Linked DNA regions of Macaca fascicularis. The protein of the gene in region 1 binds, or shares a complex with, the protein of each later gene. Links are inferred from orthologs where the notes say so. Each region holds a gene or a part of one and is shown on either strand. Other genes may lie near its edges. The genes, in order: LIN9, LIN52, LIN37, E2F4, TFDP1, RBL2 and TFDP2.

Region 1 (4,614 bases):
TAGGTGACAGAGCAAGACCCTGTCTCAGGAAAAAAAGAAAAAAGAAAACAAAAGTGAGAGAGGGAAGTGTCAAAGAAAATCTCTAGGTTTCTGCCCTGCCAGCTGAATGCACAGTGGAATCATTCGAATCACTAGAAGTATCTGTCATGGGGTAAGGCTGAGGTGGATTTTAAACTCGTGCAGTTCTAGGGGCCTTTGAAGCATCTAAGAAGAAATGTGAAATAGGCAAGAGATATCAAGAAAGGGAGCTCAGGAAAGATCTGGGCTGAAGATAGCCTTAGTTTCCTCATATAAAATGTGAGTACTTACGTCAATTGAAATGAAGATTAAATGAGCAAATACATATAATATCCTTTGCATGGCATCTGGTTCATAGTAAATACTCAATAAATGGTAGCTTTGATTATTGATAATGTTATATTGACTACTGAATAATATATTGGCTAGACTCCTTGACTAAATGTGGCCAAAAAACATACTGTTATTTCCAGTATCAAATTGAAATTGCTTTTCCTTTTCAAGACCCTCCTCCAGTTTCATTAATAATACCTGTTACTTTGCATTAATTCCATACAAATTAAGTATTTATGTATACTTGATTTGTGGCACTGTATAACAAAGAAAGAAAATCCCTGGTTTCAACAAAGCTGAAGTCTGGTTAAACAAGACATACACACGAATACACATCAATGTACCAGAGATGTCACAAAGTAATATAAATGATTAGGTTATATTAATTTGAAAGTGGAGCTGGAATTTGAACCCTAATATAAATCCCAAGTCCCTACAAAGAACCACAGTAAATTCTCAATAAATGTTGGATGATATGAAGCAAATATTCCCAACGGCAGTTGTAAGAAAGCCACGTAAAACACCTCTCATTACAACAGAATGACTGCAGTAACCAAAATAGGAGCTCTAGTGATTGTGACATCCAAGAGGTGATAAGACATCTTTATGATAAAGATACCAAGGATGACGAAAAACATTTTCGGATGACAAGTACACTGTGCTTAGTAGGTCCACACTCATTTGGGAGCATTCAAAGTCACAATCAAGGCCAGCCACGGTGGCTCATACCTGTAACCCCAGCACTTTAGGAGGCTGAGGCGGGCGGATCACCTGAGGTCAGGAGTTCGAGACCAGCCTGACCAACATGTAGAAACCCCGTCTCTACTAAAAATACAAAAAAATCAGGCGGGCATGGTGGCTCATGCCTGTAACCCCAGCTACTCGGGAGGCTGAGGTAGGAGAATCGCTTGAACCTGGGAGGTAGAGGTTGCAGTGAGCCGAGATAGCGCCATTGCACCCCAGCCTGGGCAATAAGAGTGAAACTCCATCTCAAAATAAATAAATAAATAAATAAAATAAATCACAATCAATTGTATTCTACAAATAAACAATACAACTCATGACTGGTCAATAGCTGTTCCCTATCCAATACAGTGGCTACTACCTACATGTGACTATATAAGTAAAATTCAAAATTCAGTTCCTCCATCACTCTAGCCACATTTGAAATGTCCCGTATGGCTAGTAGCTTGGCTACCCTATTGGCCATCACAAAAGAGAACAGTTCCATCATCACGGACAAAGTTCCTTTGGTACTTAGTGCTGCTCTCTATCAAATTTAAAACACAACACTTTTAATACGACTTTTCACCAGCTTGGCAACTTGAACTTTTATTTTAACTTTATAACTTATTAAGAATACATGACCTCACAAAGAAAATGGAATCGGTATGTTGAGTTCTCTTTTTCAAAGTCCATTTACCTTGTGCATAGATAGATTCAATAGTGATTGAGCCTTTCACAAATATGTATAAACTGAATAGTGAATGTGGATTCAGGACTTTTTTGTAATTAACTAACATATTTGCCTTTTCATATAATTTATGCAATACTGTAAATTACAAAAGTTCCATTGCCCTTAAACTACGGAATTGGTGCTTTTACTTACTCAACACAAGTGAGTATACACGTCTTAGATGTCAGGGTGAGTAAACACGGATAGGTGAGGCAATGCCCTAGGGTGGGTGTCAGGCAGGGTACTGCACATGTACGCTGTGTTGGTCACATCCATACATAAAGGTACCTTCATGGCTCTTAAGACACATATAGAATAAACTCTGCGGGACGGGGGCTACCTGAACACTGAGTATCCGGGCTGGATGATCTCAGGAAAGGTCCACAGCCACCTGTGGTCCCAGGGGAAGGGGCCAACCCTCTGACACGGAAACACTTCCAGGGGTGGACACACCGGTGGGGGGGCGGGGAGGACAGTGAAGATCACAAGTGCCCGTAGAGGCAGGAGCTGTGACAGGACAAGATCAGAAGCTGGGGCAAGAAGAAGGGGCCGTGGACCACACCGTGCCCAGCCCGAGCCCTCCCCCGGCCCCGGGACAGGCGAGTTACATAACCCCGGCGGGCGTCTCTCGGCGCCGGGCGAGTGGTGCAGGCGGCGAGGACAGCCCCCGCGCCCGGGGGCCGCTCTTCCCCCCACCTCGGCTGGGGGCCGGAGTCGGGCCAGGGGAGCAGCCACCGCCTCCGCCTGGCACAGGCTGGACTCCCGGGCTCTCGGTTTCCGGCCCTGGCGCTCACACAACCCCAGAAACCAACACACAGACACCATAACAAAGGCGGCGACGCGGCGGCAACACCGGAGTGGGAGGACTAGGGGACCACAGTGGGGCTGGCAGTCAGCCCACCTGCCCAGCGGAGGGCACGGCCGTCCGTCCCGGCCGGTGCAGCCGTGGGGCAGGCAGCAGGCGGGAAAAGGCGGGGGTGCTTTGAGGTGCTACTCACTCTCGTCAGGCAACTGGTCGAGCTCCGCCATCTTGAACGAGCCGCGCCGCTTTTTCAAAGGCTGCCCGCCGCGGTGCATTGTGGGGCGGAGACTGTCTTTGCGAGGGAGGTTCGAATGCGGAGCTCGCTGCCCGCGGCGCTGCGCCGCGCTGCTCCCGCCGCGGCTGGCTGAGGCGGGCCGGGCTCCGCCCGCGCCTGCCTGGGGAGGAGGTGCCGCCGAAGGGGGGCCGCACCTCGCCCCTCCGCCGCCGCCTCCGGCCGAGCAGGGCGGGAGGAAGGGAGAAAGGAGGCCGCGCGGCGAGGCCCGGCGCCGGAGCGCTGGGGGAGCAACACCAGCTCCGGAGTCCCGCCCGGGCCCCGCTCCAGGCGCGTGTTCCGCGGCCCGCGCTGCAGCTGCGGGAACTGCAGGCTGTTTGTTCCGAGTGGAGAACTGGAGGGAAGCCCTGGCAGGGGGAAAGAAGCCCTCTGTTCTGGGACGCATTGCCCGACGGGGCTCTACGCAAAGTGAAATATTCACGGTTCCCGAAACCCACATTGCTCGGGCGCCTCCGTCCCCTCACTTTTCCCGAGAGCGCCGGCTGCAGCAGCCCACTGCGCGTGGCGACGTCCGGGACTCGGCCCCAGCGGCCCCTCGCCGGCCGGGCACGCCTTTCCCGAATGTTGGAAGCTGAGCTGCGTGCAGCGGGGGAGCGAGACCTTGAGAGGTCATGAAGTTGGTCATTTAGGCCGACAGCTAAAGAACTGTTCTGCTCAGCTGTTTCATCCATTCGACACTAGATCGTGCAGTGGGCTGGAAGAGAATTAGGAAAGGAAAAACAGGAGGCTTCGAGAGGATACAGAAAGGAACAGTGACACTACAAGGTGATAAACTACCTGATCAAATGTTACGATGATATTGGACGAGAATTCAACGAAATTGAAAGAAGCCCTAGGAAAAAAATTCACAATATCTGTAACACTTTCCAGTAATAAAGCACTGTTGCTTTTCAAAAATTCATTTAACAAATGTCATTGAGCTCCAGTCCTTTTCTCCAGGAATTTATGGGTTTGGAGGAATGGGACCGCTAAGCAAACATGGGTGAATCCCAGGAACTACAAAGTTAAAAGGCGGTTTACTAAGATGACACAGAGGCCCGCCCAGGCTAAGGAGTTGAACTTGCTTAGTGCACTGGAGCAGTGGAAAAGTCGGGTTTTACCTAAAGATGGGGTATGTTTCTATTTGTGTTTTCGAACAAAAATATGGGAAATGGATTGGTGGGGGACAAGATGAGAGCCTAGAAACCAGTCAGGAAGAAGCTTATTTGGGGCATACAAAGGACAGAAGAGAGATGACTGCACTGGTAGCTAGAGAGGTGCAGAGGGTGGGCTCTGGAGCCCCAGGGCCTCGATGGGAAGAATCCAGATGGGCTGCTAGTTGTATAATCTCCGGCACGTTGGTTTCCTAACCGAATTCTCTGTGCCTCAGTTTCTTATCTGTAAAATGCAAGTAACAGAGTTGTTTTGAGGGCTAAATGATTTGATAGATGTAAGGACCTTATAATAGCTGCTAACACCCATCAGTTAGCCACTACCACCACCATCACCACAGCATAGGCAGTATTAGAGAGAGGTGGCAGCATGCACTCCACCTTTCAAGACGTGGAAAATAAAGGATTGGGTGAGTCACTGGGTGTGAGGAGAAGGAAGTCTCATTGCTGATGCCAGCTTTGTGCCTTGGGTAACTGGGTGCTGCTATGCTAAGGTAGGAGGGAGAGCAGGGAGGGTGAAAGTTCAGTTTTACAAAGTAATCCTTCAGAGCTAGCTTAACCT
Region 2 (4,088 bases), on another chromosome or scaffold:
AAAATTCAGAGATGTAAGTACAATTTTGTTTCTAAAATGGCATACAACTTTTCCCTGTTTTTTAAAGTAGTATTTTTCCTATTCAACAGCCTAGAATGTTTATTGTAAATTTGGAAAATTTAGAAATTTTTAAAAACCACTCAAGATAGCCATTAAAACATACTGATGTATTTCCTTCTAGCCATTTGTCTATGTTCATGCTCTCAAAAGAAAAAAAAAAAAAGATACCTGCTGTAAAATTTTATATTCTGCATTTTGTCACTTGCTATTATCCTTATATATAATGAAACCTTTCTGGCATGAAATGCCCTTTAGTGCTTTTTTTTTTTTTTTAAGAGACATAGTCCTACTCTGTCATCCAGGCTGGAGTGCAGTGGCACAATCTTGGCAGCTCACTGCAGGCTCCACCTCCTGGGTTCAAGTGATTCTCCTGCTTCAGTCTCCAGAGTAGCTGGGATTACAGGTGTCCACCACTACGAGCAACTGATTTTTGTATTTTTAGTAGAGATGGGGTTTCACGAGCTTGGCCAGGCTGGTCTCGAACTCCTGACCTCAAGTGATCTGCCTACCTTGGCCTCCCAAAGTGCTGGGATTACAGGCATAAGCCACGGTGGCCAGTCCTTTTAATGTTTTTTAATGACTACATTGTATTCTCCTGTATGGGTAACACTGTAATTGACCTGCTATTTCCCAAATGTTGAACTTTGTTTTACTATGTACTTTATTTTTTATTTTTTGAGACAGAGTCTCACTCTGTTGCCCAGGCTGGAGCGCAGTGGCTTGATCTTGGCTCACTATAACCTCTATCTCCTGGGTTCAAGCGATTCTCATGCCTCAGCCTCCCCAGTAGCTGGGACCACAGGCATGTGCCACCACACCTGGTTAGGTTTTGTATTTAGTAGAGACAGGGTTTCACCATATTGGCCAGTGTGGTCTCAATCTCCCAATCTCAGGTGATCTGCCCGCCTTGGCCTCCCAAAGTGCTGGGATTACGGCATGAGCCACAGTGCCTGGCCCATTTTCTTATTTATCATATTTTCTGCAGAATTATATGGAATGCTACTTTGAAACCAACACCATCCAAATTAATTTATATTCTGCCTACTCTCCTCTCCCCTTCCCCTACAAAAAATCAGAAGAGAATAAACTACCACAAGCATTTTATGGTAAAATCCTCTTTGTGTGTAAAGCCATTTCAGAGGCAATGTTGGGTTTATGAAATGACTAACGGATAAAAGATTTGAATGTTTACAAGCCTTAAAGGTAATTTGAAGATTTGTATATCCTAATTTGTTAACCAAAGGAAAAATGAGAAATAACAGCATGATTTATTTCACAGTATCATAAAACATTTTAAAAAACAAAATACTTAAGGCTAAATTGACAATTTCTAATTAAGAAGAATAACCATGATCCCTTCAAGGTGGAGTTCCTGGATTTTATGCTGTAACCTAAATAGGTACAAAGCTAATGACCATGGCAAGATGGTAAAGTAATGCACAAAACAAAGAAAACAAGGATAAGGTTCCATCGGTATTTGAGACACAGATTTCAACACAATGTCTTTAGGGTGCTTTTGAATCAAGTTCCCTGGCTTTATTTTTCAGGTTAAAATAATTTAAATTTATACTTAAATCTTTAACTTCCAGCCCTCGTCAACAGATAGGATCAAGAAACATGAAAAAAAAAAAAAAAGCTCATCTTCACAATAGAAGAAATGAACATTAGAACAACACATTAATATTTTGCCTATCAAGTTGGCAATGACTTTAAAAAATTATAATACTTGTTATTAGCAAGGATATGGAGTGAGGAGTACCTTTTTGGAAGATAATTTGGCAGTTTGTTTCCCTCTCAATCACTAATCTCCAATTGCATGTAAATTGCAGTCATAACACCTAACGAGAGTTATCCCAGTGCTGATATAATCCAATGTCACTTACTTAAAACACGAGCAACAACAAATATTTTGGACCAATTCCTGTTACTTCAGATTTAAACTTCTGAAACTTTTTTCCAGTTAACAAAGAACTGGATGTCTACCGTATACAGAGGCCATGACAACTTTCTAAACTTGTAGGAAAGTTCAGGAAAAGTTCATAGGTAGGTACCCGAATGAAAAAGCACTACTGTGGAAGAAAACTATACAAAAGGCTGGGCGCGGTGGCTCATGCCTGTAATCCCAGCACTTTCTGAGGCTGAGGCGGGCGGATCATGAGGTCAGGAGATGGAGACCATTCTGGCTAACACGATAAAACCTCAGCTCTACTAAAAATACAAAAACTTAGCCGGGCGTGGTGGCGGGCACCTGTAGTCCCAGCTACTAGGGAGGCTGAGGCAGGAGAATGGCAGGAACCCAGGAGGTGGACCTTGCAGTGAGCCAAGATCGCACCACTGCACTCCAGCCTGGGTGACACAGCGAGACTCTGTCTCAAAGAAAAGAAAACTATACAAAAGTCAGTCATTCTACTTAGCAGCCTAATGACCAGCCAAAGAAAATAGGGACTTCACAAGTCAATTTCTGAAGTTATGGATATCCTATTTCACCTATTGATTTCTTTCAGATCAAATAACTCACCGTTCACTATCTAAAACATTACCTGTTGCCTAGGTAATATGACTGAACTAGACATCTTATTAATAACACTAACCTCTAACCTCTACAAATGACATTTACTTATTTCTAAGAAAATAAAGATGCCTTCCTACAAAGGAGCATGTAAAATAATTATGTGATTTTTGTTGTTGTTGTTGTTGTTAAGCAGGCATCTAGCCTCCTTCTGACTTCCCTGTCATTAATTAGGCTAAAACATCATGGTAAGCTCTAACTTCAGCTTATCCCGTAACATCCCCATCCAGACATTTACCTACTCCTAAAAATTCCAAATCTGAAAAATCTATTGTCAGTGTACTTCTTCCCATTCTTACTGCCACCATCCAAACTCTCAATCCTTCATCCTGGATTCCCACTGTAACTTCCTGCCTCCTGTCTCTACCATCCTATTCTATCCTGTGCACTAATGCCTCCTAAAGGTGTGTATCTTTCCTATTCAAAAATCTTCAGTGGTAGAACCTTTAATGACACAGGAAAATGCTTAAGATAGAATAAAATTTTTTAAAGCACAAGTTAAAACTACACGCACACACACAACAATCTCAGTTATATTAAAAAAGCATTTCTGGCCAGGCGCTGTGGCTCACACCTGTGGTCCCAGCTACTTGGGAAGCTGAAGTGGGGGACTTGCTTGAGCCCGAGAGGTAGAGGTTGCAGTGAGCCAAGATTGCGCCATTGCACTCCAGCCTGGGTGACAGAGGGAGACCCTGTCTCAAAAAAAAAAAAAAAAAAAAAGAAAGAAAAGAAAGAAAAGAAGCATTATCTGTGTACATGGTACATGAATGGATGCAAGTATAAATATAAACACACACATAGACACATAAAGGGACTAAAAGTGGGGCCAGGAAACACATGAAATGTTAATAGTGGTTATCTCTTAGTGGTAAGGCTATGGTTTGTTGGTTTTCTTTTTTTTACTTTCTTCTTTACTTTTACAATAAAAAAATTGTAGTAAAATATCTTTTAGTAAAGTGTCTTCCCAAACCATCTATAATGCACACAGTTAATGTGATAGCATTAGAATACTTTTTTTTATTTTTTTTATTTTTGAGACGGAGTCTCGCTCTGTCGCCCAGGCTGGAGTGCAGTGGCACGATCTGGGCTCACTGCAACCTCCACTTCCCAGGTTCACGCCATTCTCCTGCCTCAGCCTCCCGAGTAGCTGGGACTACAGGTGCCCGCCACCACGCCTGGCTAATTTGTTTTTTTGTATTTTTTTAGTAGAGACGGGGTTTCACCGTGTTAGCCAGGATGGTCTTGATCTCCTGGCCTCGTGATCCGCCTGCCTCAGCCTCCCAAAGTGCTGGGATTACAGGCATGAGCCATCACGCCCGGCCAAGATACTTTTTAAAGAACATTTCACATGCTCCCTACTACCACTGAGTATAACTCCTTGATCCCTGGAGTTCAAGGCCCTCCTCAGTCTGGCCCCTCTATCTCCTTCCTAGTCTTAGTCATTATGAGACCTAATATA
Region 3 (4,683 bases), on another chromosome or scaffold:
CTGTGCCTGTCCCAGTGGCAAGGTTTAAATACCTATGTATTATACATGATAACTCACTGAATTATCACAATAACTCTTAGGGGTAGATGTGATTTTTTTTTCCTTGAGAAAGGATCTCATGATGTTGTCCAGACTGGTTTTGAACTCCTGGGCTCAAGTGATCCTGCTGTCTCAGCCTCCCAAATAGCTGGGGCTATAAGCACGTGCCATAGAGCCTGGCTCAGATAGATATTATTTTTATTCGTATTTTAAAAAGAATGAAACTGAGGCACAGAGATGTTAGGCCACATGCTCAAAGGCACACAGCAAAGAAATTGCAGAGCTGATTATTTGAACCCAGGCTGTCTGGTTCCAAAGCTGAAGTTATGAGACAGAGGCTCAACCTGAGTGCAGAATCTGGTTGAGGCAGTGGTATAACTTTATTTTAATTAATTAATGTATTTATGTTTTGTGAGACGGAGTCTTGCTCTGTCACCCAGGCTGGAATGCAGTGGCATAATCTTGGCTCACTGCAACCTCCACCTCCTAGGTTCAAGCAATTCTCCTGCCTCAGCCTCCCAAGTAGCTGGGATTACAGGAGCCCGCCACCATGCCTGGCTAATGTTTGTATTTTTAGTAGAGATGGGGTCTTACCATGTTGACCAGGCTGGTCTCGAACTCCTGACCTCAGTGATCCGCTGGCCTCGGCCTCCCAAAGTGCTGGGATTACAGGCGTGAGCCACCACACCCGGCCAACAGTGGTATAATTTTAAATCTGAATTCAATCTGAATGAGCTGACATTTAAAAATTGGGAGATTTCTTTTCTTTTGAGACAGAGTCTTGCTCTGTTGCCCAGGTTGGAGTGCAGTGGCGTGATCTCGGCTCACTGCCACCTCTGCCTCCCGAGTACAAGTGATTCTCCTGCCTCAGCCTCTCAAGCAGCTGGGACTATAGGCGTGTGCCACCATGCCCAACTAATATTTGTATTTTTAGTACAGACAGGGTTTCACCATATTAACCAGGTTGGTCTCAAACTCCTGACCTCATGATCCACCCACCTCAGCCTCCCAAAGTGCTGGGATTATAGGCATGAGCCACCATGCCCGGCCAAAATTGGGAGATTTCACCTAAAACATCCTGTTTGGACTTTTTTTTTCCCCTCAGGAAATGAGATCTAGGCCCACCCTCCTGCCCAGTGAGCCTGTGGCTGCCTCCCATCATCACAGAACTTGAGGGAGTGATGATGTTATGCTGTCCTACCTTTGAGAGGTGTTTGCTCTGCCTTTCTGACTGGTGGGAGCTCTGGCTCTAGTGCTCAGAGCCAGGAGGGGACACCTGGGAACTTGCCTGACCAGTCCAGGGACTTCCTGAGAAGGTCAGGAGACACAGGGATTCAAACATAGCTCAGAGGAAAGACAGAGTGAGGGTGGGGAAGGGAGTAGCTGAGATTGCAGCAAAGCCTTGGGCGGATGCAGAGGGTACGGATCTCTCCCCAGGCCCAGCTTCTCTCCTGAACCCCCGACTTGGGCCTGAAGCCTCCCTCTCAAGGGTCGCCTCACTGTCGCCTAGTTCCTCCCTGTACCTCACCATGAATACCCCTCTCTCTCCCCTACCCCAGCCCAGCAATCCCATGACCTGTCCACTAGGCCTCCCTAGTGTCTCTCCCACCTACCTCCTCTCCACTCTATCCATGCTGGTCCAGACCTTTGCTCCCCCTGGGCTCCCACCTCAGCGTCCCCTTCTGATCCACCCTCCACAAGGCAGCCAGGGGAATCTTCCAGAAAAATAACAAACCTGACCCTGATCTTCCCCTGCTTGGAACCTTCCATTGGAACCTTCCATGACTCTACAGCACCCAGGGGTGGAGTCTGCACTCCTCAGCCTGGTACTAAGAGATGTATACCTTCCCTCACCATCATTTGTGGTCAGACCCACTTCACTTTTCTTTCTTTTTTTTTCTTTTCTTTTCTTCTTTCTTTCTTTTTCTTTCTTTTCTTCCTTCCTTTTCTTTCTTTCTCCTTTCCTTTTCCTTTCCTTTCCTTTTTCCTTCCTTTATTCTTCCTTCCTTCCCTCCCTCCCTTTTCTTTCTTTCTCTCTCTCTCTTCCTTCGTTTTTTGGTTTTTTCTTTGTTTGTTTTTTCAGGGTCTCAATCTATCACCCAGGCTGGAGTGCAGTGGTGTGATCTCAGCTCACTGCAACCTCCACCTCCCCGGCTCCAGCGATCTTCCTGCCTCAGCCTCCTGAGTAGCTGGGACTAGAGGCTCGTGCCACCACACCTGGCTAATTTTCTTTCTTTCTTTTTTTTTTTTTTTTTTTTTTTGTATTTTTTATAGAGACAGGGTTTTGCCATGTTGCCCAGGCTGGTCTCAAACTCCTGACCTCAAGTGATCTGCCGGCCTCGGCCTCCCAAAGTGTTGGGATTACAGGCGTGAGCCACCGCACCTGGCCTGCCACTTTGTTTTGATAACACTTTTGCCATGGGACATCCTACATCATTTTACTATTATCTTTCTGTCTAAATTCTGCACCCCTCCCACTGCCCTTACCATGCCAGGCCTGCGATCCGGTCAGCTCTGCCCCAACCCAAAATGATCTAAGTTTCAGTTTCCCCAATGACCACAATTCCTATTTCCTAGGATTACTGGAATATAGTGACTGTGAGGATTAAGAGTGCTTGTACTTCAGGCTCACAGCAAGTATGTGTGACTGATCACTGCTGGAAATGGGGAAACTGAGGGGAAGCCAAGAAAAGAGAACTTCTCGGCCGGGCGCGGGGGCTCACGCCTGTAATCTTAGCACTTTAGGAAGCTAAGGCGGGAGGATCACTTGAGGTCAGGAGTTCGAGACCAGCCTGGGCAATATAGCGATACTCCGTCTCTACTTAAATATTTAAAAAATTTAGATTAAAAAAAAGAGAAAAGGGCCCTTCTCAGAGTTACCGGCTCAGGATTCCCCATATCTTACCACGCACCGCACTGCCTGAGCCACCACCATTCAATCTCAAAGCGACTTCAAGCGCAGACCGGGAGGGTGTGAAGGTGGCAGCCAACGCTCGCTGCCTGATACAGCGATTGTCAGGTGGGCTGCAGGGAAAAGTCGTGCAGTCCTCTTTCCGCGATACTCCCTTCTACCGGGACTCCACACCCTGTCAACCCGATGGTCCCGACAGGCCCCCGACGTCAGGGTCCTCACCTGATTTCTCCACTTTCACCTTCACGGGGAACATGGTTTGGGTCCAGGATCTGGCTAGCTGGGTCAGAGGCGCCCCAAAGGGCCTAGGGTCACAAATCAAGGCGGGAGGCGGGCGGGGACAGTTCAAAGATGAGCTTCGTGGGCCACAGCTCCTCCGCCTTTGGTTGTGTTCAGCCTGGACCATGGCCACCACCCTTCTGTGGGCGGGCCCCTTCGGCAGCAGCTTGCTCCTATTAGTTAATGCAGTCGTCAATCTTACATCCTGACCAATTGAGAGCTGCCTCCGTAGTCTCCCAGCTTTAGGTCCCACCCTCCTGGGGCTTTGCTTCCGGAAACAAACCATCGACCACCAAGCTTCCTGGGAGGTGTAGTTCCAGGTTCCCAGACCCACCCGGAGTAACAGCGCCTGCGCCGCGCGGGGCACGGTGGGAAACAAAGGATTAGGGCATCGCGAGGCTTCCCGGGACTTGTAGTGTTAGAAGGGTTGAGCAACACCAATTTAGCTCTTTACCATATTTAACCAACCGTTGGAGTCCCTTCATCCCTAAGAGGAAGACTAATGTAAAATAACGTTGGGTTCCCTTTCACTGAGCACTCTCTAGGTGACAGGTACCAGTTAATCTCTTTGCAGGTACAACTTCATTCATTTTGCAAATATTTATTAGTATGCCGGGCACTCTTCTAGGCATTGGGGACACCTTGAGGAACAGAACAGACAAAAATCCCTGCCCTAATAGGGCTTATCTTTTAAAGGATGGAAGATAAACAGTAAACAAGTAAAACATTCTAAGTGAAATGTAATAGGAGAAAGAATATAGTCTGGGCAGGGCATGGTGGCCCACACCTGTAAGTATCAGCCCTTTGGGAGGCCGAGGTGGGCAGATCACCTGCGACCAGGAGTTCGAGACCAGCCTGGCCAACATGGTGAAACCCCGTCTCTACCAAAAATACAAAAATTAGCCGGGACTGATGGCATGCCCCTGTAATTCCAGCTACTCCAGAGGCTGAGGCAGGAGAATCGCTTGAACCCGGGAGGCGTAGGTTGCAGTGAGCTGAGATCGCACTTCTGCACTCCAGCCTGAGTGACAGAGCAAGACTCCATCTCGAAAAACAGACAACAACAAATCCCCAGCCCCCCACCAAAAAAAAAAAAAAAAAAAAAAACCCACAAAAAAAGTGTAGCCTTAAACGGACATAGGAATATCAAGGTGGTGATTGAATTTTAAATAAGATGGATGGTCAAGGAAGGATTCTCTGAGAAAGCTCTTGACTATTTTTATTTTTGCAGACAACACTTCCTTCAGAAAACGGGAAACTTGGATTTATCACACATCTTGGTCCAAATAAATCCTAGGAGGTAGCATTGTGATCTACACTTCTGATGAGAATACTGAAGCCCACAGTAGGAAAGTTATGTTTTTGAATTCACGACTACCAGTACAGGGTAACAGCCCCTAGAAATGGAAGCACTAGACCAGTTGTACCACTGCATTCCCGCCTGGGCAACAGAG
Region 4 (4,850 bases), on another chromosome or scaffold:
ATGTGTACCTCTGCGGAGAAGTGAGAGGTGGCAGGCTGTTGTGAAGAGGGGTGTGGTGGGGGATGGCAGGAGAGGGTCATGAAAGCTGTGTTTTTTTTTGTTTTGTTTTAGACAGGGTCTCGATCTGTCACCAAGGCTGGAGTACAGTGGCACCATCATAGCTCACGGCAGCCTTCTGGGCTCAAGTGATCTGCCTGCCTCAGCCTCCCAAAGTGTTGGGATTACAGGCGTGAGTCACCGCAACTGGGCAGCTGTGTTTATCTTGAGAGTTATAGGGAGCCAGGGAAGGGACTATAAGGTGGTAATAATTTAGTGGATGTTCAGTCCACCACCCAAATCCACCCTTCAGGACAGAAGTGCTCATTCTCCAGCTGCCAGGAGTGTAGGCTGCTGAGATCAATATTGGGGTGCAAAAGCATGGTACCATCACGTGAACATAAACTCTTCAGAAGTGCTACCCCAATTTCAGAGATCCTAGTGGCATAGGCTGAGGCCTATAATATAATTGCATCTGCCCAATTCTGCTTGTCTTACTCCCTTAAAGGTGTGGATCCTGACCAGGTGTGATGGCTCACGCTGTCATCCCAGCATTGTGGGAGGCTGAGGTCTGAGGATCGCTTGAGCCCATGAGTTCGAGACTAGCCTGGACAATATAGTGAGACTCTCATCTCTACAAAAACTAAAAATAAATGAGCCGGGCATGGTGTGTGCATGCCTGTGGTCCCAGCTACTTGGGAGGCTGAGGTGGGAGAATCGCTTGGGCCCAGGAAGCTGAGATGGCATTGATCTTGCCACTGCACTCCAGCCTGGGCAACAGAGTGAGATCCTGTCTCAAAAAAAAAAAAAAAAAAAAGAAGTGTGGATCCCCAACAAACTTGCTGCAAAACCCTGTCTCGAGTCCCATTTCCCATAGAACCTGACCTAAAAGAAACAATAATAAATAGTAACAATGTTACAAGTAACAAAATGACCCTAGCAAACTTTCCTACATGCCAGAAATGACTCTGAGTGCTTTACTGATATATACACATAGGTAAATACGTTTGCATTGCCTGAAGTGTATATAACCCCATAGTCTCTGAGCACTGTAGCGGGAGGACAAGATGAGCGAAAGATGAGGCTAGGACCATGGATGGAGAGAGGTGGACAAGGTAGATATAGTTAGTGCTTGCTGTTTGGCAGGAAGTGAGGGACAGGAATAGATGGGGTGACCCCAAGACAGTAGGGGAACCTTTAGGAACATTTTTGATGTGGCAGTAAAATGAGTTTGAAATATAAAAGAATAAATAAAGAGAAAAAAATTTAAAAGGAACTGATTTGAGGGAACAGATTGGATTAGTCAGGTAGTGTGGTCTTGTCTCCCGAGATGGGGACTGGGCAGAGTTAGTGATGTTGGGGCAGATTGGCAAGGAAAGTTCCGATGGCATCCCTTTCTCTACTGCCAGGGCTGCCCACTGACGCCCTCCTCATTCCTCCCTAACTTCATCCCAACTCCCGGTCTACCCAGGTAGTTTTCGTCTTATTCGGCGGCTGGACATTTGCTAATGGTCCCTGAAGTTTTGCGGTTGCACCCACAGACAGCAATAGCGCCGCGTTCCCTGGAAGACGCACGGGGCGGAAGCGGAAGCAGCAACGCTGGCTCCGGCTGCCGGACGGCCAGGAACGGAAGCGGAAGTGGCGGCGGCGCCGGCCTGGCCTGGCCTGGCTGAGGGGAGGCGGCGGGCGGACGCGATGGCGGAGGCCGGGCCGCAGGCGCCGCCGCCCCCGGGCACTCCAAGCCGGCACGAAAAGAGCCTGGGACTACTCACCACCAAGTTCGTGTCTCTTCTGCAGGAGGCCAAGGACGGCGTGCTTGACCTCAAGCTGGTGCGGCCCGGGCTAAGGGGCGACAAGGGAGGATGGTGGACCAGGCCTGGGCCGGTAGCGGGAACCCCGGGGGCGGCCCAGCTGGGTCCTCCGAGAGCCGGCCGCCATCGTGTGCTTTCTCACAGGAGAGAAGCCGGGGAATGTTTCATTCATTCGGCCGAGGCCATTGAGCTACAGCTATGGGCCAGGCTCGGGGCTCCAGGTGTTCGTCCTCGTGGCCCTTCCTGGCTGGCGAGGAGAAGAGCTGCCTATGGGACAGAGCTGCGGGCCTGAGCTGCAGTAGCGCCTGGCAGGCACTACAGGGTTGGAATCCAGGTTACTCCCTTCCCAGACCACGTCTCAGGGTGGCTGGGGGTACACCCGAGAGTGGGGCTGAGCATTCTCCACTCTGTCTGCCAGGCAGCTGACACCCTAGCTGTACGCCAGAAGCGGCGGATTTACGACATTACCAATGTTTTGGAAGGTATCGGGCTGATCGAGAAAAAGTCCAAGAACAGCATCCAGTGGAAGTGAGTGGGGATAGTGGGAGGGTAGTAGAGTCTCCCACCCAGAAGTGTCGGGGGTGGGGTGGAGGGTGCCAAAGAAGGCAGGGGCCGTGGGACCCAGAGTTCTCAGCAGTCCCTCTCAGCCCCACTCCCTGGGCTCAGGGGTGTGGGGCCTGGCTGCAATACCCGGGAGATTGCCGACAAGCTGATTGAGCTCAAGGCAGAGATCGAGGAGCTGCAGCAGCGGGAGCAAGAACTAGACCAGCACAAGGTGTGGGTGCAGCAGAGCATCCGGAACGTCACAGAGGACGTGCAGAACAGCTGATATCCTCCTGGCGTTCCCTCCTGGGGGGAGTGGGCAAGGGGCCCTCTGGTTCAACTTGCCCTGGGCAAGCTCCCTGTTCCTCTTGGGAGCTTGTCCTGTGGCCCCTGGCCATGGCCCAGCCTCAGGCTCCCTCCTCAGAGCCTCTCCCCTTCCAGTCTTAGCCTGTGATCCCTCCCCCAGTGGACCTGAGTCCCCAGAACTTTCTCTGAGGGGCCTCTGTGTCAGACCTTGGCTAAAGAATTGGGTCTTTTTTGTAGTCTGCCATCTGTCACCATAGGGCATCGGCCATTCTCCTTAACCCTCACACTTTGGCCTACGTCACTCATGAGGACATCTGCAGATGCTTTGCTGGTGAGCAGAGCCTGGGTAGGGGTGAGGGGGTGGGCTGGGCTCAACCAAATCCCTGAGCACTGGGCTCAGTGTCTCAGGAGAGTTCCGTCTCTTAAGAGGGTTTCTGGGGCCTGCTCAGAGAGGAACCAGGCAGGGTAAGTCTTCTGTCTGAGTGTCACTGGGACCCTGTGGAGGTCAGCTATACCAAGAGGGTACAGGAATTCTGGAGTGGGTTCCTGGGTCTGTTCCCAACTGTACTGTTTCCTGGATTTGGCTTCTTGAGTATGATAGAGGTACAAGGGGGAGAAAGGGAGAGAGGATATGTGTGTATTTGCTTGTGTTCAGGCTCTTACATGCAGGGCATGGGGGTGCCCACTTCCAACTTGTTAGTTTAATTGCATTGTGAATGCAGGATATGTTCCTTTTTTTTCTTTCCTTTTTTTTTTTTTTTAAAAAGAGACAGGGTCTTGCTATGTTGCCAGGCTGGTCTTGAACTCCTGAGCTCAAGCTGTCTTCCCCGCTCAACCCCCTAAAGTGCTGGGATTATAAGTGTGAGCCACTGTGCCCCGCTGATGTGTTTCTTCTCCATCATGTATCCTCCTGACTGGTCATGGGAAAGGGATGTTGGCCTTGGCTAGAATACCTTCACCTAGGGAACAGCCATCGGTGGAAGAGTGAGGTGCCTGTGGCCAGTGATATTTGACTCCACATACTTGAACCCAGATTTCCTGGTTACTGACTCTGGGCTCTCAGGAAGAGAAGAGCTTTAGCTCTGCCCAGCCACTATGGGGAATGGGTGAGGTCCACTGTCTAGTCCCTCAGAGACCATGATCTCCTGCCTTGCTCCAAAAGACAGGCACCTCTGTTCCCAGCTCAGATTGAGCCCATGGGCTCTGACCCATTCTCCATGTCATTCTAGGAGATACCCTCTTGGCCATCCGGGCCCCATCAGGCACCAGCCTGGAGGTGCCCATCCCAGAGGTGGGTGCTTAGCCCAGGCAGGCGGGGTCAGCTGAGGGCGGGTGCTGGCTGTGGAGACTGATAAGTCCCGGGTGGGGCAGGTAGGGGAGGCCTGGAGTTTGGGGTTATCTAGGAGGATGGGCATCCTGGGTGGGAGAGGACACTGGTCCTGACAGAGTCGGGCAGGAGCCAAGCCTGCTTCCAATTCTACCCATCTCCCATCCCTTACCACCCATCTCTAGGGTCTCAATGGGCAGAAGAAGTACCAGATTCACCTGAAGAGTGTGAGTGGTCCCATTGAGGTTCTGCTGGTGAACAAGGAGGCATGGAGCTCACCCCCTGTGGCTGTGCCTGTGCCACCACCTGAAGATCTGCTCCAGAACCCACCTGCTGTTTCCACGCCTCCACCTCTGCCGAAGCCTGCCCTAGCCCAGTCCCAATCCCAGGAAGCCTCACGTCCAAATAGTCCTCAGCTCACTCCCACTCCTGTCCCCGGCAGCGCAGAAGTCCAGGGAATGGCTGGCCCAGCAGCTGAGATCACAGGTGAGGCACCATGGGAGCTTGTGACAGAGGCCCAAGAGGCAGTATCTCTGTGTTGTGAAACACCACACTCAGAGTTGGAAGAGACCCTTCAAGATGGGGATTGTCTTTTTCCTGACCTCCACCTAGCCTTCCCTTGCTGTGGTAATGAATGAGCCTTTTTTTTTTTAAATTGAGACGGTGTCTCACTGTGTCCCCCAGGCTGGAGTGTGCAGTGGCGCAATCTTGGCTCACTGCAACGTCCGCCTCCCGAGCTCAAGAAATTTTCCTGTCTTAGCCTCCCGAGTAGCTGGGATTACAGGCACCCACCACCACACGCAGCTAGCTAATTCTTGTACTTTTAG
Region 5 (4,088 bases), on another chromosome or scaffold:
CCTCTTTTTAGTACCACGGAAGGATACAATTTCATCCTCATCCATATTGCTAAAAGGAAGTAAAAGGGTGAAGGGAAAAACAGAAGCGTGCCGAAGTGCCCTGTGTGGAATTCTGTGCCGCCCCCTTCGTTAAATGACCGTTAGCGCTTTGGGGGTCACGCTCTGCCCTGTCCTGTTCTTGCTTGCTTGGGTTGTTCACAGTTTCTTGTTGCTTTTGTCTAATTGGAGAAGATGCCTGTGACTGACAGGAGGAAGATGAGCCACAGTCAGAACAGGTGTGGTGATGCCGTCACCGTGTCAAAAGCGTCCACCGCCAGACGTTTTTCCTGCCCCGTCGTGGCTGCTCGCTGTGGTTAACAAAATTCCACAGTGGCTGTGGATAGCGAACAGTTGGTGGGCGTGGCACCCTCGCCGTGTGGGCGGGGACTGACTGTCTGAATTGTCTTTTTTGACTATAGGTAATTGGTACGCCTCAGAGACCGGCAGCGTCAAACACCCTGGTGGTAGGAAGCCCACACACCCCCAGCACTCACTTTGCCTCTCAGAACCAGCCTTCCGACTCCTCACCTTGGTCTGCCGGGTGAGCACTTCCCTCCGGACCCTTAGAGTTGTAGGATTGCTTGCGGTTCGCACCTCCACGTTCTCCTGGGCCACGTGCGTGACACAGTCGCACGGTGGGGCTCCCATGCGCATTGATGTCAGCCTCCGAATCACACTCACCCATCATCGTGCCCCGCACAGGTGTGCAGTCGAGGCGCACTGCCTCGGTCACGGAGAAGTCGGGCTGGGCACTGCCCACCCTGCTTTGTGTCTGGTGTAGTGGGTGCTCTTGGAAGGGCTGGCAGCTCTTGGCCAAGACGGGGAGAAGCTGGCCTTGTACTTGCCACAGGACCTTGGAGACTTTTCATCGTCTGTGCTGGGAGCACGCGGGATGGATTTCACCCACTGCCCCTGAATGCAGCCTCTACTGCCCCTGGGGTTACGGCCCCCGTGAGTGGTCCCACCAGAGTGGCTCCTTCCACTAAAGCAAGATCTGATGAGCTGTGTCTTTCCTTAAAAAAACACACATGCAAAGCTACAAAAACCTACCTGTGTCGGTGCCCAAAGCTTCACCAGCTGGGACCGCAGGTGACCTTTCCCGCCACGTGGGGACTGACCAGAGTGTAGAGTTGGGCTTTCCCTCTGTGTGAAGAACACTTAGTGGTTTGCACCTGTTGTCAAGCGGCTATCACAGCCCAAGCCGTATGAAATTATAGCCTGCTGAAATTTGTCCTAAAAATTCCCAAATGTACACTGAAATGTCCCATAGTTCCTGATTCTGGTTGCCCTCTTTAGAAAAGTGATGCCTGTGGCTCACACCTGTAATCCCAGCCCTGTGGGAGGCCGAGGCCGGCAGATCATGAGGTCAAGAGATTGAGACCATCCTGGCCAACATGCTGAAACCCTGTCTCTACTAAAAATACAAAAAAATTAGCCAGGTGTGGTGGCGGGCGGGCGCCTGTAATCCCAGCTACTTGGGAGGCTGAGGCAGGAGAATCGCTTGAACCCAGGAGGCGGAGGTTGCAGTGAGCCAAGATCGTGCCACCGCACTCCAGCCCACTACAGAGCGAGACTCCATCTCAAAAAAGAAAAAAAAAAAAAGAAGTGCTTGGTGTACTGATAGGCCTCTCATATGCTGAGTACTGATAGGCCTTCCATATGCTGATTCGGGTCCTGGGGACGCCTCCCGTTTTCCCTGACACTTGGAAGGACAGAGGTGCAGCCTGCCAGGGAGACACTCGCTTTCTGACCTGCAGGAGCACTGGGCCTGGGGGCTGGGGCTAGGTGGTCCTGGCCTGCTCACGTGTTGGATCTGCTGCGCCCGTGGGATGTGGCCCCTTTTTGTGCAGCTCATTAGAGCTCTCAGGTAAAAGCATTCCTCGATTCAGACTGATGCTCAGGAGGGCTGACGGTCGCTTCTTTTTTCCTTTGTATTTTGAAGGAAGCGCAACAGGAAAGGAGAGAAGAATGGCAAGGGCCTGCGGCATTTCTCCATGAAGGTCTGCGAGAAGGTGCAGAGGAAAGGGACCACTTCCTACAACGAAGTGGCGGACGAGCTGGTCGCGGAGTTCAGTGCTGCCGACAACCACATCTTACCAAACGAGTCAGTAAGTGTGTGCTGGGGGCCGAGAGGCCAGGGTAGCGGAACCAAGTGGTGTGGCACGTTTTACTCTTTTAATATTGGGAACAGTTAAAACCATACAGAAAATTCCAAGTACAGCATGACAGAATTTTTCCCAGTCCATTTGCTGGCATGATGCTCTGTCAGCGTCAGTGAGCGAGCACGTGGGCTGGCTCTGCACATCCAGCGGCCCAGAAATGCAGACGTGCCCTCCTCGCCAGCTGGGCTCGACACCCGAGGGCCCCCAGCTCCCCTCCTGGAACACACTGGGATTCGCACAGCCCTGTCTTGCCCTGCATCATCTGTAGGGTGGGAGTGCTCCCTGAGGACGTGTTGGGGTGACAGCTCTGTGAGCGGGGTGCCCCTTCAAGCCGGTGCACGTGGCCTACAGTTTAAGGTGGGATCCACAGGCTTTTTTGGATCATTTGGAAAATCCACTCCCTGTCATCCGCAGGCTTATGACCAGAAGAACATAAGACGGCGCGTCTACGATGCCTTAAACGTGCTGATGGCCATGAACATCATCTCCAAGGAGAAGAAGGAGATCAAGTGGATTGGTCTGCCCACCAACTCGGCTCAGGAATGTCAGAACTTAGAGGTGGCCCTTCAACCTTGATTTCCCTTCAAGTCTGTGTAGATGTGTTTGTTGTCCGTCACTCAGAAGGGTCTGGGCTCCATGCCCTTATGCTCTCTGTGTCCAGACGGCTGGCAGACGGTCATGCAGACGTCTCCCTGCGTTTCTCAGTCTCGGCTGTCAGGGGAGGGAGCATGGTTGGCCCAGACCCACTAGAGTGTGTTAAACTCTAGCACAGGTTAATTGTGAATCCTAGTTTGTGGGATTTTTGTTTTCTTTTTAGATACCATAGTTAAATCCAAGAAATGAGAGGAGAGGGGAAAAGGTATAGTTTAGAAATGGAAGAAAAACTCACCTGTATTTTGTGGCATCTGCTATGTCTAGATTTGTCCATATCCCTTCGATTACATTCAAGGTAAACATAGGTAACACTGAGGATGCGGGTTGTAAAATGCACTGTATGGAACAATCGTGATGATTCTCTACATGGGGGGTTTGTTTTTGAAGGTGGAAAGACAGAGGAGACTTGAAAGAATAAAACAGAAACAGTCTCAACTTCAAGAACTTATTCTACAGGTAAGAGAATACATATCTTTGGAGGCAGGGTAATTTTTATTTTACTAATTTAGTTTTATAACAGCAACATACTGCCTTGGGTTACGCTCCTGTGTGGCAAATTAAATGACTGCTTTAAGATTCTGAGTGTGAGTTCATCTCATAGGTGTTGAATGTGGGCCGTGTTCCCAGAGCGAGGTTGTGTATGTGTGTGCGTATGCATGCATGCGTGCGTGTGTGTGTGCATGTGTGTGTGCACCTGCGTCCATGTGCCTGTGTGTGTGCATGTGTGTGCATGCCTGCGTGTGTGCCTGCGTGTGTGTGCACGCATGTGTGTGCGTGCCTGCGTGTGTGTGCCTGCATCCATGTGCCTGTGTGTGTGCATGTGTATGTGTGTATCCCTCGTCACAGTGTCTAAACAGCCAAAAGACAGATGGAGGGATGACTTCATGCAAAAGCAGCATTTGAAAAATCCCCTCAGAGGTGCTTAACCCAAGGCCCAGGTGCCAGGCGAGGCATGTAAAACTGTGGTGGGCGCAATGCACCTGGGTCTTGACAGTGCTGATCAGGGCCCTGGAGCTGGCCTTCCCCACCTCCCACTGAGTGCTGAGGGTGGGCGGCACCCCTGGGGGCCCCGTGTCTGGTGTGGAGGGGGTCGTGTGCAAGGTGCTCAGTGCAGAGCTGACTGCTGCTCTGGCCGAGGTGTGCTCGAGCCCTCCCAGAGGGGATGGTGTGGCAGCCATGGTGATGGAGACTCGTGGGCGAGAGCTGCTCAGGGCCACAGAGTCTGTCAGGAGG
Region 6 (4,518 bases), on another chromosome or scaffold:
TTGAATGGATATTCAGCCACTAATTTTATACCTAATCAAAACACATACATGAATACATAAAATTTATTTTTATAACCAAATGAGACTATTGTGGATCCCCTACCAGATACATTCAAAAATAATAATTTTTAAGGCATTGTTTCTAAAAGATCATCTTCACAATCGTTTTTTATTCAAGAAGTGATACAACTTTCCTCTTCCTATAAAAGCGAGGAAGGATGGAAGCTGTCCTTTGGCTTCACTGTATTCATTACTGGTCTAAATGAAAATGAGAAAAACTGGAAATTCTTCATTTTTCACATTTACACATAGACTATCTTACAAACCCACTTATATGTATCAATAGCATAGATGTTCTATTGTCAAAAAAAACAGCCAAGATTTATGTATTACATATGTCTCTGGGAGATGGTTTCATAATATTCTTGATTTATGATGTAAAAGCAAATTTAGATGCATAACTACTGCATTTCTCTACTCTATCAAGATCTCTTACAAAGTATAAAGTTAAGTCAGTCATAGCATTATCCTGTGCTTCAATAAAGGGTTTAAAAGATAATCTATAATGTTCTATTTTGGCTCTAGAAAATTCACAACTACTTGGATGGCAGAGAGAAAACAACAACAACAAAAAAAGAAAGTCTACAGCTGCATCTTTCCTAAAAAGAAGAAAAGAATTAGTCTTGTGAGAATTTTACCGTACTTAGATGATAAAACGGAGCGGGAAGTTCTTTTAAACAATTTATGCAAAGAGTAGACTCTGCCTAGTTTATCTTTGGTCCTAAAAAATATTTGTTGAAAAATTCCATAATACTAAAAAATAGTTATCCTCAAAATTAACATCTCGTGGCCATATCTTATAGGGTCAAATAGATCTGGTTTCAAATTCTGGCTCTGCCATACAGTAGCTGTAACACAGTGGGAAAATTACTAAACAGTCTCAGAGGCTGCATTTTTTTGGCTGAGGACTGTAAGAATGAGTTATAGGTTAAAAATGCACAGAAAATACAATGAATCAAATTAAATTTCCATAACCAGTATTCTGTATTAAATATCATAAGAGCTTTATTTCCCCTTACACTCCCATGAGAATGACATCCCACATTATCTCACAGCGTAGCTCACTATAAGCCCCACAAAGGCAGGTATTTTTAGGCTTTGTTTGATGCTCTATATCCAGCACTGAGAACAGTGTGTAGCACTGAGAACAGGTGCTCAAGAAATATTTGATGAATATTTTACTGAGTAAATCATTTACTGAATAAACTGGGCTAAGAAGCTGAAACTAAAGTCTCAGTAATCAAAAGAATTGAGTAATCAAACATGTGTTTTCAAAAATAATTTACTAACCAGCTCTTACGTGGTATTTGCTCATGTATCACTGGACTTCATACAACTTAACCACTATGAGTTGACATACCTCAACTAAATGGTGATAACGCTTGTTCTATCTAATTTACAGGATCATCCTGAGGGTAAAATAAAAGCTAGTTTAGAAGCCTTTAAGGCCCTTTACCAAAGAAAAAAAAAAAGCAAAAAAAAGAAAAAAAAAAAAAAAGTCAACCAGTCCTTCTCTTTGCCAGACTACAGAAAGGCACTGAGAGACGGACAGGAACATAGTTTACTCAGCCAGATCATGTAAATATACAAAGAGCTTAGGAAACTTGAAAGCACCGTCCATATGGGTGCTTTATGTGCCAGAAACTACATTGTTGCCTTATTTAATCTTCAGAACAGCTCTGTGAGGTAAACACACATATCTCCAGTTTAAAGATCACAAAACTCAACTTTCCAGCGGTTAAGTAAATTGTTCAGTCACCCAGGTCTGTCGGGTTCTAAAGCCACCATACACTATCTTTCTTCTGCAGATATAACAATTCAAAGAGGGAAATCGTAATTGAATCAAAATTCTATTAATGCAAATACAAATTTAAAATAACCTCACTCATCAGTACACATAGCCAAAAACATCATATTTAAATAATACCTTGGTTAGGCTTTGCATCCTGGGCCTATTTGCCCCCCTCTTTATCCAAAGTAATTATAAAACTACTTGAGAAATTAAATGGCCTCAGGTTTAAATGCCACACACACACAGTAGAAGAGCTGATAAACAATCCGTACTTCCGTGTCACTTCCCATTGGCCCATGAAAGGGAGGTGCCTACAGAACTAACAGTCACTGGCTAGAATGGCCATTTTTCTCATCCACAAGCCCAGTCCGAAGGCTGCGACCTAACACGCCCGGATCCCGACAACAGGAGTCCTGTGCAATGCCCGGGGTGACCAAAAAGCCCTCGAGGTAGCCACAATCCTGAGCCTAGTGACAAATGGGAGCATGTATCTATATCCGGGTCGGCGGAGGGCTCATTTCATGTGGCCTGGGGGAAAATGAGTCTTAATTTGTTTACACAGACGTAAACACAGACCAAAACGCATCAGCTCGTTGACTCTAACGCCAGCAACGTCTGGGCAAAGGCAATTTGGTTAACAGGGGGAAGCGAACAGACGGAGACGCCTGGAGACCCAGGTGCCACAGCCCGGTTAATCGCGGTGCAAATAAGGGCAAGTCCCCTCCCCTTCTCCGTGCGGTCTTGATAACGACACTAGTTCATTCTACTAACAAGGCGGGCGGGGGGTCAGATGGGCCACACACACCCATCTTCCTCATCGGGACCCCAGCGCGATCTCAGCTTCCCTATGTTACTTTAGGGCAAAACGCGTTCCCCATTCGGAAGCCGCGGGGAAGCGCGGCGAGAGCAGGTTCGCCCTCGGAGCGGCTAAGTGCCTCGGAATAGCGCAGAGGGGGTCCCCACGCCTCTCCCGGCTGGGATCCCGCAACCCGCCCGAGGGTCTCTCGTGGCGCGCGACGCGGCTCGGAAGGCACCGGTTCACGCCGACTAGGCCGGAAGCGCCCCTCCGCCCGCGAGCGCACCTCCAGAGTGTAGCTCTCGCTCATGCTGCGGTAGCTGTCCCAGGCCTCGGCCCGCGCCGCCTCGTCCATGTTGAGGCGGCTGCACAGCTCGTCGAACCGCTGCTGGATGTGAGGGGTGGGCGACTCGTTAGGCGGCGCGGCGTCCTCCGCCTCGCCGTCGTCCTCCTCCTCCTCATCCGAGGCTGCCGCCGCCGGAGGAGGAGGCGGGGGCGGCGGCGACTGGTCACCTCCCGACGGCATAGCGCACCCCTGGGCAGCCGGACCTCAGGTGAGGTGAGGGCCCGGGCCCGCAGCCATTCAAACCGCGAAGCGCCCGCCCGTCCGCCGCCCGCTCCGCGCCTGCGCCTGCGCCGCTGCCAACGACGCTGACCTCCTGCAGGCACCCGTAGTCTTGAGCACGGCCTGCTGGGAAATGTAGTCCAGGCCGACGGTTCAAGGGGGCCAAAAATCATGTTTAAAAAAATTAGCTCGCCTAGTTTCACCAGGGGTGAAATAAAAGCACCTTCCCCGCATTTTAAGCACATACCTCCCCATCGTGAGAACATTCAACAGGGTTGTACTGACGAGAAAATGTCCAAAAGACACTGACGTGTGAAGGTTTCGCATCCAGGCTGTTCCCAGAAGTAAAACTTCCTCATTGCCTGGATATCCTTATCTAAAAAACCAGGATAATAGCAAGGGCCTGTCTGTGTACCTTCACGAAACTGCCTTTGCAAAAATCCTAACAGTGAGAAAGTTACCACTGGGAAAGGGATCTGACCTAAATGACTCCATGCTTCTCACCTCCGAGCTGCACTTGTTCATTCCCAGGCGAAGACCCAACTAACTACAGGAGGAATTTAATTTGTAGTTTCACTTTGAAGCAAAGATTTTTACAAAGCTTTCCCAAAACAAACCCCCTTCTTGCCTGAGGATCAGTCTGCCTTTGTAGAACTAACAAATTAGCCACAAGATTAGAAATTATGATTTAGGAGTCTTGCAGCCAGAGGCTACAAGATTCCTAACCTCCCCAGTTGCTCTCAGGGATAACATCACTATTGTAAAACCTAAGATTGGTGCTGGAGATACTTTTCAGACCCCGCATTCCGATGCATGAGCTGGCGCCACTCAGACCATAATCTGGCTCAACCAGTTCTACAGTCCCACTCAGAAACAGAAGACAGCAAGAGCCCACTTCAACCCCCTAAGATTTCACCTCCCACCTGACAAATTAGCATTCGCCACTCCCTGGCCCCCTACCCGCCAAGTCATTCTTTAAAAACCCCAGTCTCCGAATTTTCTGGTAGCTGACTCTGAAGGGCAGACAGTCCTTTTTTTTTTTTTTTTTTTTTTTTTTTAATTTGAGACAGAGTCTGGCTCTGTCGCCCAGGCTGGAGTGCAGTGGCACGATCTTGGCTCACGGCAACCTCCGCCTCCCGGGTTCAAGCGATTCTTCTGCCTCAGCCTCCTGAATATCTGGGATTACAGGTGCGTGCTACCGCGCCCGGCTAATTTTTATATTTTCAGTAGAGGCAGGGTTTCACTATGTTGACCAGGCTGGTCTCGAACTCCTGACCTCAAGTGATCCGCCCGCCTCGGCCTCCC
Region 7 (2,807 bases), on another chromosome or scaffold:
GTCCCAGAGATGAGAAAGGGTGAAGTTAGTAAAAGAGGAGGCTGCCCCTTAAAGGATAGTTGGTTTGGAGGGAAATCCCGATCCATGCAGTTGAAATGTCCCCTGCAGGTCCCTGGGGACCTGCTGTCACCTCCCCGGTGTTCCTGACTAGTCTGAGAGGTATGCTCCAGAACCCACGATAAGACCAAGTTCTCTAGAAACTGCCTCTATCTCTGAGTCTGTACTATGGCTTATTTCTGACAGAATGAGACTTTTGTATCAAAGGAGCTCCAGCTAAAGTTGAATGTTTTTCTTTCTCAGTTTTTATGGCCTTATTAAACATGTTTAGCTAGCCAAAGCTTTCTCCTCCTCACCAGGCTCACTGTCAACATGGTGGTGGGGCTAGAAAGAGGCACCACAGGAAGAAGCCTGCACTTCCCCCAAGGGATTTAAAAAAGAACCAATTTGGGCCATGCTTGGTGCATCTAGCATCATCTTGGGATAAATCCACATGATTCAGGTCAAAGTTTTGGAGTTAATTTTCCCATTATTATTTGCTCCTTTCCAAGGCCTTAATGTGAAATTCAGGGTCTGGCCATGGTGGCAGATGTCCCTACACTCTTTCAGAGAAGAAGCAGTTGTGAATACACCACTGCAGTATTTCTAATGACATCTTGAGCCATAAACAACATAACTGCACTACCATATATCCAGGCAGTAGGAGTGTTCAGTTTTCCAGTGTTTCTGTGAAACACTAAATATTGGATTAGTTTGAAATGCAACTGACCCCAGGAGTAGGTTCAATAAGGTCATTCTGACTAATGAAAATGTGAAAAAAGGTGACATGTAGAAGGAAACATTGCTGTTCATATTCTTGAAATAGACTTTTCTTTAAGACAAAAGTAATGACATTTGGTTCATCTTCACAAATTGCACACTGGGTGAGAGCATACAATTGCTGCAGGGAACTGTAGGCAAGCAATTTGGTCATAGGAATTTGTCTTGTTTTAAATGAAAAAGCTATATGAAATGCATAGCTTTGATTAACCTAAAGATACATTTTCCCTCTTTATAAAACTCCAGATTTAGGATGCTGGCAAAAGGCAGTGCTGGCAAAGTATTTAATGCACATGGAAATGCTATTCTATTTTGGCTTCCAGAAGTAGCCCTAGTAAATTCTATGCATCAATGCATTGGCTAATAATAATTTCAGTTTTACTATAAATTATCTAAATGTCACTTAAGTACTTAAGAAGTAGCGCTTGCTCCTTTCTAGAAGCTGTCTAAGGCAGCTGATGCATAAAGCACCTTAACTAGACCTCCAACTAGTTCAGCAGTTCAATCTGTGCCCCTCGGCCACAGGACTGCCCTCAGTATCCCTCACTACACAGCTCCCCTCTCGTGGGGACTTTTCATGTTCATTTCCGCCTTGTCAAAGGCAGTCCAGGCAGGGAAGAGAAATGTCAGAAACATGATCGTCAAGGACTGCTCTGTGTAGCAATCTCAATTCTAAGAATAATTACATGGGTGTGAGGAACACAAAAATCCCACCTCACAGAAGATAAATGAGCACACTCACACTGCCAACTCTTCAGGAATTATCCCCACTAGCTCCTCAGAAAGCATGCTTTGTTTGTTATATCATCTACTGCTCTGTTGGCCAGACTTTCATTCACACTATGTTAACTTTCATCTCAATCATCTCAGCCTTCATGTGATTTGCTTATTGTGTTTCTCTAGTTTTCACTGAACACACAGTGCAAACAAAGGCAAAGACTGAAGCAATCATTTCAAAAACAAGAGCTCACACTACAAACACACATGAGCATCACATATTGAAACGTAGGCTTTCTCTTGTCTTTATTCTGGGGAGGAGGAATCCTCCTCATCATCTTCCTCATCTTCATCATTGAACGAACAGGGGGTCTCGCCTCGGGACTCGGAGCAGTGAGAGGCTGCACTGCTGGACTGGTGACTGTTTGGGGCCAGGAACTGCCCAGTTGCTAAGGCCACTTCTGCATCCAAGCATAACCCTTGGTTTACACTAGCAAACAATTAAAAACACACAGGCTCATTAATGTGGTATAAACAGTTTTGTAAAATATAGGAATAAAAACATAGGAAGGAGGTGCCATTGGTGAGATCTGCCACAAACCTGCTCAGCAGGACCTGTGCTGGCAGTAACATGACCCCGGCTCACCCCTACACAGACAGTCAGGGCTCTGGGGTTTGCCTTTCTAACCCTGAAAAAAATACGTACCTTGACTGGGGTAAGGTGGCACCAGTGTTCAGGTCTAAATTTGAAACTGATTGGGTAGAGTTCAGAAGTAGTCCCTGATTTAACCAAGAAGGTCCTGTGGAGATATCTAAAGGAAAAAATGAGAACAAAAAATGTCGGTCCTGCAAGTTTTGTGGCTGCTGTTGTTACAGTCTGAAGAAAGCACAGAAGAGCAAGAACTAAGCTTATTCTTCATGACAGCGAGACAATTCTCTTGCTGTGAGAAGAACCCAGGTTTCTTCATCTTCTTGGAAGAAAAAGAAACTCTAGAACACAAGAGCAGGAAAAAAAAATACGGGAAGGCAGCTTATGGAGAGAAGGTATTCAAATGAAAACACTCACAGGCGCTTTCTTACTCTTTTTCTTAGATAAGCCCTCCAGAGCACAGCCCATGGGATGCAGCCCAGTGTACCATCCTCAATGCCTGGGCTGCCCTCACCACAAAAGACCTGGACTGTGGTGTTGACAGCCAAAGCCAGAAGTGGGAAAAGAGAAAATCAAATCAGAAATACATGAGGTAAGAAGGCCACCCTGCATAGAGGGCAGACAG

The links.
Region 2: the proteins of LIN9 (region 1) and LIN52 are in contact, whole or in part, in a crystal structure (PDB 6C48), measured with the Homo sapiens proteins. The link is inferred for Macaca fascicularis from reciprocal best matches to the Homo sapiens genes LIN9 and LIN52. Residues at the interface, in NP_001353174.1 of Homo sapiens: Leu335, Gly336, Phe338, Phe342, Leu343, Ile344, Val346, Thr347, Leu349, Ser350, Lys351, Leu353, Met354, Lys356, Lys357, Ile360, Leu363, Arg364, Asn367, Thr368, Ala370, Glu371, Lys374, Ile382, Phe384, Gln385, Tyr388, Ala389, Val392, Leu395; in NP_001019845.2 of Homo sapiens: Asp61, Met64, Leu65, Leu68, Gly69, Leu71, Thr72, Thr73, Leu76, Met77, Val80, Leu83, Gln84, Leu86, Ala87, Leu90, Asp93, Glu94, Glu97, Met98, Arg100, Gly101, Leu104, Asn105, Ile106, Leu107, Glu108, Pro110.
Region 3: the proteins of LIN9 (region 1) and LIN37 are in contact, whole or in part, in a crystal structure (PDB 7N40), measured with the Homo sapiens proteins. The link is inferred for Macaca fascicularis from reciprocal best matches to the Homo sapiens genes LIN9 and LIN37. Residues at the interface, in NP_001353174.1 of Homo sapiens: Lys99, Ala101, Ser102, Gln103, Lys104, Ile105, Gly106, Arg108, Leu109, Arg110, Leu112, Leu113, Lys114, His119, Trp121, Cys122, Ile123, Glu125, Trp126, Phe127, Thr227, Leu237, Phe238, Leu272, Ser273, Asn274; in NP_061977.1 of Homo sapiens: Tyr95, Ile97, Leu99, Phe100, Asp101, Arg102, Val104, Leu106, Ala107, Phe109, Ser110, Glu111, Asn112, Thr113, Pro114, Leu115, Tyr116, Ile118, Cys119, Arg120, Trp122, Met123, Asn125.
Region 4: LIN9 (region 1) and E2F4 share a complex: the UniProt entries of both Homo sapiens proteins name them as parts of the DREAM complex. The link is inferred for Macaca fascicularis from reciprocal best matches to the Homo sapiens genes LIN9 and E2F4.
Region 5: LIN9 (region 1) and TFDP1 share a complex: the UniProt entries of both Homo sapiens proteins name them as parts of the DREAM complex. The link is inferred for Macaca fascicularis from reciprocal best matches to the Homo sapiens genes LIN9 and TFDP1.
Region 6: LIN9 (region 1) and RBL2 share a complex: the UniProt entries of both Homo sapiens proteins name them as parts of the DREAM complex. The link is inferred for Macaca fascicularis from reciprocal best matches to the Homo sapiens genes LIN9 and RBL2.
Region 7: LIN9 (region 1) and TFDP2 share a complex: the UniProt entries of both Homo sapiens proteins name them as parts of the DREAM complex. The link is inferred for Macaca fascicularis from reciprocal best matches to the Homo sapiens genes LIN9 and TFDP2.

What each region holds. Positions count from the first base shown.
Region 1 is NC_088375.1:84,220,426-84,225,039, forward strand, and holds the start of LIN9 (protein lin-9 homolog), read right to left. Parts: upstream 3,003-4,614; 5' UTR 2,885-3,002; coding exon 2,806-2,884; intron 1-2,805. UniProt on the Homo sapiens protein: Acts as a tumor suppressor. Inhibits DNA synthesis. Its ability to inhibit oncogenic transformation is mediated through its association with RB1. Plays a role in the expression of genes required for the G1/S transition.
Region 2 is NC_088381.1:142,054,779-142,058,866, reverse strand, and holds part of LIN52 (protein lin-52 homolog), read right to left. Parts: intron 3,322-4,088; coding exon 3,204-3,321; intron 1-3,203.
Region 3 is NC_088393.1:42,980,159-42,984,841, reverse strand, and holds the start of LIN37 (protein lin-37 homolog), read right to left. Parts: upstream 3,357-4,683; coding exon 3,173-3,356; intron 3,064-3,172; exon of another isoform or gene 2,975-3,063; coding exon of another isoform or gene 2,945-2,974; intron 1-2,944.
Region 4 is NC_088394.1:63,212,127-63,216,976, forward strand, and holds the start of E2F4 (transcription factor E2F4), read left to right. Parts: upstream 1-1,670; 5' UTR 1,671-1,731; coding exon 1,732-1,866; intron 1,867-2,265; coding exon 2,266-2,375; intron 2,376-2,513; coding exon 2,514-2,675; intron 2,676-2,983; coding exon 2,984-3,027; intron 3,028-3,925; coding exon 3,926-3,987; intron 3,988-4,208; coding exon 4,209-4,509; intron 4,510-4,850. UniProt on the Homo sapiens protein: Transcription activator that binds DNA cooperatively with DP proteins through the E2 recognition site, 5'-TTTC[CG]CGC-3' found in the promoter region of a number of genes whose products are involved in cell cycle regulation or in DNA replication.
Region 5 is NC_088391.1:104,024,825-104,028,912, forward strand, and holds part of TFDP1 (transcription factor Dp-1), read left to right. Parts: intron 1-458; coding exon 459-580; intron 581-1,981; coding exon 1,982-2,147; intron 2,148-2,615; coding exon 2,616-2,759; intron 2,760-3,242; coding exon 3,243-3,311; intron 3,312-4,088. UniProt on the Homo sapiens protein: Can stimulate E2F-dependent transcription.
Region 6 is NC_088394.1:49,422,388-49,426,905, reverse strand, and holds the start of RBL2 (retinoblastoma-like protein 2), read right to left. Parts: upstream 3,270-4,518; 5' UTR 3,175-3,269; coding exon 2,935-3,174; intron 2,116-2,934; exon of another isoform or gene 2,006-2,115; coding exon of another isoform or gene 1,988-2,005; intron 1-1,987. UniProt on the Homo sapiens protein: Key regulator of entry into cell division. Directly involved in heterochromatin formation by maintaining overall chromatin structure and, in particular, that of constitutive heterochromatin by stabilizing histone methylation.
Region 7 is NC_088376.1:44,769,038-44,771,844, forward strand, and holds the end of TFDP2 (transcription factor Dp-2), read right to left. Parts: intron 2,346-2,807; coding exon 2,240-2,345; intron 2,024-2,239; coding exon 1,840-2,023; 3' UTR 851-1,839; downstream 1-850. UniProt on the Homo sapiens protein: Can stimulate E2F-dependent transcription.